Rattus norvegicus: one gene and its partner. The protein of the gene in region 1 interacts with the protein of each later gene in a biochemical or structural test. Links are inferred from orthologs where the notes say so. Each region holds a gene or a part of one and is shown on either strand. Other genes may lie near its edges. The genes, in order: Glg1 and Sele.

The links.
Region 2: the proteins of Glg1 (region 1) and Sele form a complex in vitro, tested with the Homo sapiens proteins (2 studies listed by BioGRID and IntAct). The link is inferred for Rattus norvegicus from reciprocal best matches to the Homo sapiens genes GLG1 and SELE.

Annotation. Positions count from the first base shown.
Region 1 is NC_086037.1:56,039,457-56,043,272, reverse strand, and holds part of Glg1 (Golgi apparatus protein 1), read left to right. Parts: intron 1-552; coding exon 553-660; intron 661-1,587; coding exon 1,588-1,774; intron 1,775-2,519; coding exon 2,520-2,626; intron 2,627-3,816. UniProt on the Homo sapiens protein: Binds fibroblast growth factor and E-selectin (cell-adhesion lectin on endothelial cells mediating the binding of neutrophils).
Region 2 is NC_086031.1:78,934,954-78,939,317, forward strand, and holds the start of Sele (E-selectin precursor), read left to right. Parts: upstream 1-1,560; coding exon 1,561-1,597; intron 1,598-2,076; coding exon 2,077-2,460; intron 2,461-2,918; coding exon 2,919-3,026; intron 3,027-3,443; coding exon 3,444-3,632; intron 3,633-4,305; coding exon 4,306-4,364. UniProt on the Homo sapiens protein: Cell-surface glycoprotein having a role in immunoadhesion. Mediates in the adhesion of blood neutrophils in cytokine-activated endothelium through interaction with SELPLG/PSGL1. May have a role in capillary morphogenesis.

The DNA of each region.
Region 1 (3,816 bases):
TGTCTCTAAGTACCTGTCCTTGGAAATAATTGGTCTACCAAGCTAGAAAAGGCCATCTGAGGAGCCTTGTTTAGATTGCTCTTAAAGCTATCTAAAGAAAGTTGTTTACTCTCTTCTCTGAAGATCAGGTTTGGGAAGTCTATGAGTTCATGCCATGTGCAACACATGTCAAGTTAACCTTCCTTCTGTGGAATCACAGAGTAGCCTTCTTTGTGATAAGTCCTAGAACAATGTGATTTCTTTTCAGAATCGCCAGTGAACTTTGAAACCAGAAGAGAGCTTAAGTGTCTGGCATCAAGACGGTGTGGAGAGGGCACAGTCCACTAGGAAGCTGTTATGCTGAGCCTTGGGCACATGGGAGAATCAGAAATGTTAGCTTTAGAAGCCCGGGTTTCCAAAGACAGTGGCGTTGTTTCAGCTGTCCCTAAGGAGCAGGCCCAGTCAGAGTCAGCAACAGGCACCATGAATTCAGGGCTGGCTGGGCAGAGTTGGTCTTCTCTGGAAGCCAGTTATTTCTCAGCAGGATAGCCCTGTTTTCTCTTTCCTGAATAGATTGCTAATTTATGTGCTGAAGAAGCAGCAGCCCAGGAACAGACAGGCCAAGTGGAAGAGTGCCTAAAGGTCAACCTGCTCAAGATCAGGACAGAGCTGTGTAAAAAGGTAGCCACACCCTCACCGTGCCTATCTCCTATCTCCTTTTCTCTATTTTCCTCTTGATCCTATTGCATTATTTATTGAAGGAGAGACAGAATAATGGTCAAGAAGCATATTATGGTTTGGAAAGAGGTAACAGCATAGAATGCTGGGTAGGAAGGCTTATATTTTGTATTTTGAATACCTTTTTGGTTTTTTTGAGACAAGGGTCTCTCTGTGTATCCCTGGCTGTCTTGGAACACACTCTTTAGAGCAGGCTGGCCTCAAACTCACAGAGATCCACCAGCCTCAGCCTCCCAAGTGCTTATGCCACCACAGCCAGCTTGAATTTCGTTTTCAACCAGCTCCTACCTTTCTTCAAAATGTGGACTCAAACGCATTCAGCACGGCCTTTGTAAAATAGACTCTTATTTGATTGAGTGCGTGCGTGCGTGCGTGCGTGCGTGCGTGCGTGCGTGCGTGTGTGTGATCTGCATGTGCATTTGTGCATATAAGTCCCTGGTGCCCAAGGAAGCCAGAGGTACTGAATATTGTAGGTGCTAGGAACCAAATTCAGGTCCTCGGAAGAGCAGCAAGTGCCATGTCCCTAGCCTCTTGATTGAAAATAGAGCTCAGAAGTCAGCCTTACAGCTGTGTGTTAAGATTCTCAGTCCTTATTGTTCAGTTTTCCTACAGTAAAAGAACAACTATTAAATCAATAAAATTCTAACGTATACATACTTTAAAATAATGTGGCATGCCAGAGTGCCAGGGACCCTACCTGATCATCCGTCATGGACGCACTGTCCTAGCTTCCTCAGAGGTAGTTAACAGATTAAATTAGGTGCCAGAAGTCTGTATTCTGTGCAGATTTAGCAATGTTACCGCCCACCTTCCCAGACTAGTTTCTTGGTCACCTTCACTCTTTGGCTTGTTTGTTTGCATGTTCTGTAGAGTGTTACAAACACAGATTGGATACATTTCTTCTACAAAGCTCCCCACAATGAACTTCCCTTTCAGGAAGTGTTGAACATGTTGAAGGAAAGCAAAGCAGACATCTTTGTGGATCCAGTTCTTCACACAGCGTGTGCCTTGGACATTAAACACCACTGTGCAGCCATCACCCCCGGCCGTGGGCGTCGTGAGTAATGTTTGTTCAGTCTGTCCCTGTCTGAACTGTCTTGGGTGGGACAAAAACTACCTGTGAGTTACCAGGTGCAGCTATTCTATTCTGTGTCTCTTATCCCAGCCACATACAGCATCTCTACGTGTCAGCTTGATGGTAAAGCTAGGCCTTGATGGCCATGAGTTTGGGAACAGTTGTACAGGTATGAATTGACCAGAGCCAGAGATTTCATGAAAAAATACATTTGTGCTATTTATTAGAGAATCAATAATTCAGGTATAGCTAGGCATAGTGGTGCACACCTTTAATCCCAGCACTTAGAGGCAGAGAGAGGCAGATCTCTTTGAGTTCAAGGCCAGCCTGGTCTGTAGAGAGAGTTCCTGGAAAGCCAGAGCTGCATAGAGAGACTTGTCTTCTTAAACAGTTCAGTCACCATCAGTATCCTCTTTCCCTCCCCACACTGAGCATCCCAGGGGCCCTCGAAGGCACCATGGCAGCTGCTGGGCGTCTGGACCCCAGGTGACAGACAACTTGTTTCTGAGCCAGGGACACCCAACAAAAATAGGAGGTGATAAGAGATCTTGAGCAGCTGACGCTGGAAACCACACTCCTCGCCAGTGGGATCTTGATTAAGGTTCTTGGAAGGAATTTGATCAGTTGGTCCCAGAGAGCTGAGTTCTCAGGTGCTTGAGAATCTTCTGGCAGATTTGGCAGCCATCACTTCCGTGCAGTCGCAAGCCTCTGCCGTTTGCTTCCACAGAGATGTCCTGCCTGATGGAGGCCTTGGAAGACAAGCGCGTGAGGTTGCAGCCCGAGTGCAAAAAGCGCCTGAATGACCGAATCGAGATGTGGAGTTATGCAGCCAAGGTAAGGACCAAGAGAGCTCCTGATGTGGCAGCCTCTTTTGCCAGTTTTTATCTCTGTGGCATATGTGACTGGTGTTATCCTGGCTAGAAATCGAGCAAAAGGTATATTTCAAAAATCAGGTCAGGTGTGATGGTGTACAGGCTGTATAGAGAATCCCTGTCTCAAAGGAAAAAAATTATTGTTTCTAAATCTGGACTGTTTATGAACCCTGAAATACCATCGCCCTCACAGAAAACTAAGTCTACAAAACACTGTCTCAGTTTCCCAGACCCCAGTACTGACAAGTCATCGTTCCTCATAACTGTCAGCCATCCCTTCACTCCTCAAGGAGTGAAGTCGCGTGTGAAGCCCCAGGTTAGGTGGGACAGCAGACACTAAGTCGTCCTCCTCCCCTTTGAGCTGCTCAGGTTGAGGCTGAGTGACTCAGAGTCGCTCACTGCTTGTTGTGGGCCAGCAAATCTCACTAATCGCCCCCTTCCTACGCCGCTCTTACATATCTACCAGGAACGTAGGAGCCACTCAGGTTTCCCTTGACCACGCTTCCGGGACCATACCCAAAAGAGCAGTTTTATGTGCACTTAGGAAACCTTTGGTCCTGACTCTGTCATCTGAGGCACCACACTGATCCATTGGCGGATGCAGTAGGAATTAAGGATGAAAAGAGTTAAACCATCAATGTCCAAGACTGCTGTGTGCTAAAGTGTAGTCTGTCATTTTAAGCGATGATTATACATTGTTTTTGATGTGGAAATACTTACAACGTAGTGCTTAATAAGTAAAGTCAAAATAAGAAACTTGATGGAGAACAGCCAGTGCTGTGGTGCCCGCCTGTAACCCCAGTGCTTGGTGCCTGAAGCACGTGCATCACAAGTCTGAGGCCAGCATGCAGGACCTTCATCTAAAAAGAAACACATCAAAACGGCACTTTTTATCCACAAAAGAAAAGGAAGAAAAGAAAAACATAAAATGTGGTCTCGGCTTTTCAGGCTCATGCAAGCAGCATCAGGAGCTGCTGGTGGCGCACTGACCGCTCCTGAGGATGACCTTGGTCCCCTCCTCTGGCTCAGTTTGGGCAGGAAACCTATAGCGTATGGCCCAAGAACAGTGTTGTAGCTGTGTTGGTTTCCTTCCCTGGCTCCCTGTGAACTAAAAGATAGGAATTAGGATATACATGATGGCTGAGGGACAAA
Region 2 (4,364 bases), on another chromosome or scaffold:
ACGCAAACGAATATAACTTGAGCGTGGGTTTCATTTCTACATGTGCTGGACAATAACAGCCATATTCAGCTAAGTAAACAGAGGTGATGAGGGGTGAGACAGTGTCGATATCCAGGAAGTAGAGATGGAAGGACAGGACACAGTTTTATCTCCCGTTTAATTTGTATTGTATAAAAACATTATGATATATGAATGAAGATTTTTTTTTGTAACATCATCATAGCTAATGAATAGAAAGTGAGAAAAAACATGCTCGTGAATGACTCCCTTGGGCCACAGTGCCTGTGAGGATGGGCTAAGGTAGCAGTGGCTGGGGAGAAACTGGGTCCTGATGCATAAGCAACAGTTACACACAAGAAAATTGAGAGCGACAGATCGTGGGTAATAAAACATTCTTCACAAATCAGAGAAAGAACTGGAAGAGCTTGAAGGGGCTCGAGACCCCATATGTACAACAATGCCAAGCAACCAGAGCTTCCAGGGACTAAGCCACTACCTAAAGACTATACATGGACTGACCCTGGACTCTGACCTCATAGGTAGCAATGAATATCCTAGTAAGATCACCAGTGTAAGGGGAAGCCCTGGGTCCTGCTAAGACTGAACCCCCAGTGAACTAGATTGTTGGGGGGAGGGCGGCAATGGGGGGAGGGTTGGGAGGGGAACACCCATAAGGAAGGGGAGGGGGGAGGGGGATGTTTGCCCGGAAACCGGGAAAGGGAATAACACTCAAAATGTATATAAGAAATACTCAAGTTAATAAAAAAAAAAATCTTCACTTGCTTATGTTTGTGAAACCAAGTTCTACACACAATTGATAATGGTAATTAGACTTTAGAGGCCAGGGATTAAAATCACACACTTGTATCGTATTTGATAAAACCGCATATAAATTACAAGAGCCCAGATAAAGGATTAGCTTAGAGGGCCAGAGTCTCTGACATCACTGTGAAAGTGTTTTAGTTCTCAAAAAACTTTCTGGGTTCGGATGAGGATTTCCTCTTTACCAGATTTTGATAATAATGCTCTGTGACTCACAGGAAGCCAGCTCCCTATAAAGAGACTCCAGCAGCAGACACGATACTCACTGGTCCTCGACTGACTGCACATCAAAACTGCTAGAACAGAGAGAAAGAAGCAGGATCAATAACACCCAAGGAATCCAACCCCCGAACAACATCTCATCTAACAGTAAGTGCAGATTCCGAGCCACAGGAGCCTTGGGCCTGAAGCATAGATTTATATCTGTGCGCACATATGCAAAAAGGCATTCTGATAAAAGAAATCTGTCCAAACTGTGATAGCATTGCAATTAAAACCCACCTTCTCTCTGTTCAAAATGATGGGAATCTTAACGTTTGCATTTATTCTTCATGCTAGATGCCTGTGAAATAAAGCAGGAGCTACAGGATTCTAAAACCTCACAGTTTTGACTTGAATGTTACGATAGAAGGGTGTGAGTAACCCGCACTTAGAATGTCCTTCTGTGACTAATTTAGCACTCTCTCCTCAGGAAAGTTTCTCCGGTCTAGCATCTGGATGAAAGGAAGTGCTGGGGTCATGAATGCCTCGTGCTTTCTCTCTGCTCTCACCTTTGGTAAGCTGGAGTCATCGGAGACCAGGGATCTTTACACTCGCTCACCCCTCTCACTCTTAAGATCAGGGTATTTTGCTGTGTGGGGCTATCCTGGTGGTTAGCAGGACTGATGACCTATCCTTGCAGGGTTCTGCCTTATGGGGGAAGGATGGATCTTAAGCGATCTATTCAGGCGTTGTGAAGGTTCATTCATTTGGTTCTTGAAAGGGGACTCAAACAGGTGTCCCCCAGCATCCACTGAAGTTTGCTTTCTCTGACCTCCATTGTACTGTGAAGTTGGAGTATAACATTGTGGTTGCCATGAGGCACCAGCAGATGTGCAGTCAAACAGTGATCTATAGACATGCTCTCACCTTCAGGTGTTGTTCTTCTTACTTTTAAAATCAATAGTTTGAGCCAACACAAAAGCCTGTAAGTGCCAAAAGCAAGACAACACAATTCAGGACTAAATGTTGTTATTTCTTTCTTACCCAACCCAGTTCTCCTCATTGGAAAGAGCATAGCTTGGTACTACAATGCCTCCAGTGAGCTCATGACATATGATGAAGCAAGTGCGTATTGTCAACGGGACTACACACATCTGGTGGCGATTCAGAACAAGGAAGAGATCAATTACCTAAACTCCACTCTGAGGTATTCACCAAGTTATTACTGGATTGGAATCAGAAAAGTCAATAATGTATGGATCTGGGTGGGGACCCAGAAGCCTCTGACGGAGGAAGCTAAGAACTGGGCGCCAGGTGAACCAAACAACAAACAAAGAAACGAGGACTGTGTAGAGATCTACATCCAAAGACCCAAAGACTCCGGCATGTGGAATGACGAGAGATGTGACAAAAAGAAACTGGCTCTGTGTTACACAGGTATGAAATTTCCATGTGGCAGAAGGCCAGTTCTGTGTGGAGGCAGCCTGACAGATTTAGAGTGTGTCAAGTAGTTGATCTCTCTGTGCACATTTTCTGGTTTTTAAATAGATGATTATAAAAGATTTTAATAGTGATTGCATCTCTTTTTACTGATTTGTGCGAGTAAAGGCAAGAACTATACAAATATGTATACTTACATATATCATTGTACCGATATACAGAGTCTATGTACTCACAATGTTTTAGCTATTCTACTGGTATGCCTTTATTACCATCAAAATATACAATAGATGAGCCTGGAACTTGAATCTGGCCTGTCAGTCAAATGTTCGAGCAATAATGTCATTGGTTTTATCTGGATTGCACTGACTCTAAATTAAAAACAAACAAACAAGCAAACCCATGATGAGCACCATGATAGTTGATTCTCTTCATAAGACCTGTGCTTCTTGTAGCTTCCTGTACCAACACATCCTGCAGTGGTCACGGTGAATGCGTTGAGACCATCAATAGTTATACCTGCAAATGTCACCCCGGCTTCCTGGGACCCAAGTGTGACCAAGGTAAATCTTGACCTCCCCTGTACCTTCTCCAAAGATGGTAACACCTTCTAGTGTTCCAGATAGCTCGTCAGTCGGGCCCAAGTGTTTCCTCTAACAAAATACACCGAGTAAGAGTGATATAGTAGCTAAGGCTATGAGATCAGACCCTCATGGGTCAATCTCTAGACTTACTACCCGTATTACTTATGGCACCTTGACAAAGTAGTCTTACGGGGTGACTGACTATTCCAGTTGTCATGAAACTAAGTAACGTGCTGTGGCAGCTAGCTGTAGCTTAGCGTTTTAGGTTCCAGAGAACTATAAAGATAATAATAGGAACAGCTCCATCATCTAATGGCTCCATAGAACCTGGACATAGTTATGTGTGATAACTATGGTGAGGTGAGGAGAAGTACGACTTGATTCTTTTTTTTCCAGTTGTGACCTGCCAAGAACAGGAATACCCTGACCATGGAAGCCTGAACTGCACCCACCCATTCGGCCTCTTCAGCTATAATTCATCCTGCTCCTTCAGCTGTGAAAGGGGCTATGTGCCCAGCAGCATGGAGACCACAGTGCGGTGTACGTCCTCTGGAGAGTGGAGTGCACCTGCTCCTGCCTGCCATGGTAACTCTCCCAATGCATCAAACCTTTCCACTGCTCCTCATTGCCTTAGATTTTATCCAACTTGTAACTTTCCCCAATTCTGTGGAAGATGTGTTCTTCTCTCTCTGGTACCAGTTTGGTTTAGCATAGGATTTCTTTTCCACTTTTTTTTTTTGAAAATAGGTATTTCTGAGATTCTGGTGACATGTAAAGGAAGGGGTCTAGACAGTGGAAGCATGTCTAGACAGCCTCATAACTTTCTCATGGACTTTCCTGTTTGGCTCTCCCATGCAATGGGACCTTGTTTAGTTCTGAATTGATCACGAAGCTTCTCTTTGCACAACAATTTAGTACTCTGGAGCAATTGAAAAGTTCACTGCTTAAGTCCTTTGTATGTTAATATTGCCTTTACACCACGTCATGGATCTTGATCTAGAGGCTGTTGTTTTCTTTGTTTTTCTTGTTTCCATGTGTAGTAAAATAGATCAGAGGCCAGCCAGCATAGTTAAAGTGAATAGTAAAGACTAAAGCATCCATTATGAGTCTGCATGTTATCAAGAAATTGGCACAGGGGTTTGGGCTATGCCCTTTGAAGATGGGTTTCACCTTCTTTGATAAACCCTAATTCAAGAGAAAATGAAAACATCTGTAATTTTCTTTGAGTAAAGCTCTCTCTTCTCTTTCATCTCCTCAGTGGTTGAATGTAAAGCTTTGACCCAACCTGCCCACGGAGTCAGGAAATGTTCCTCAAAT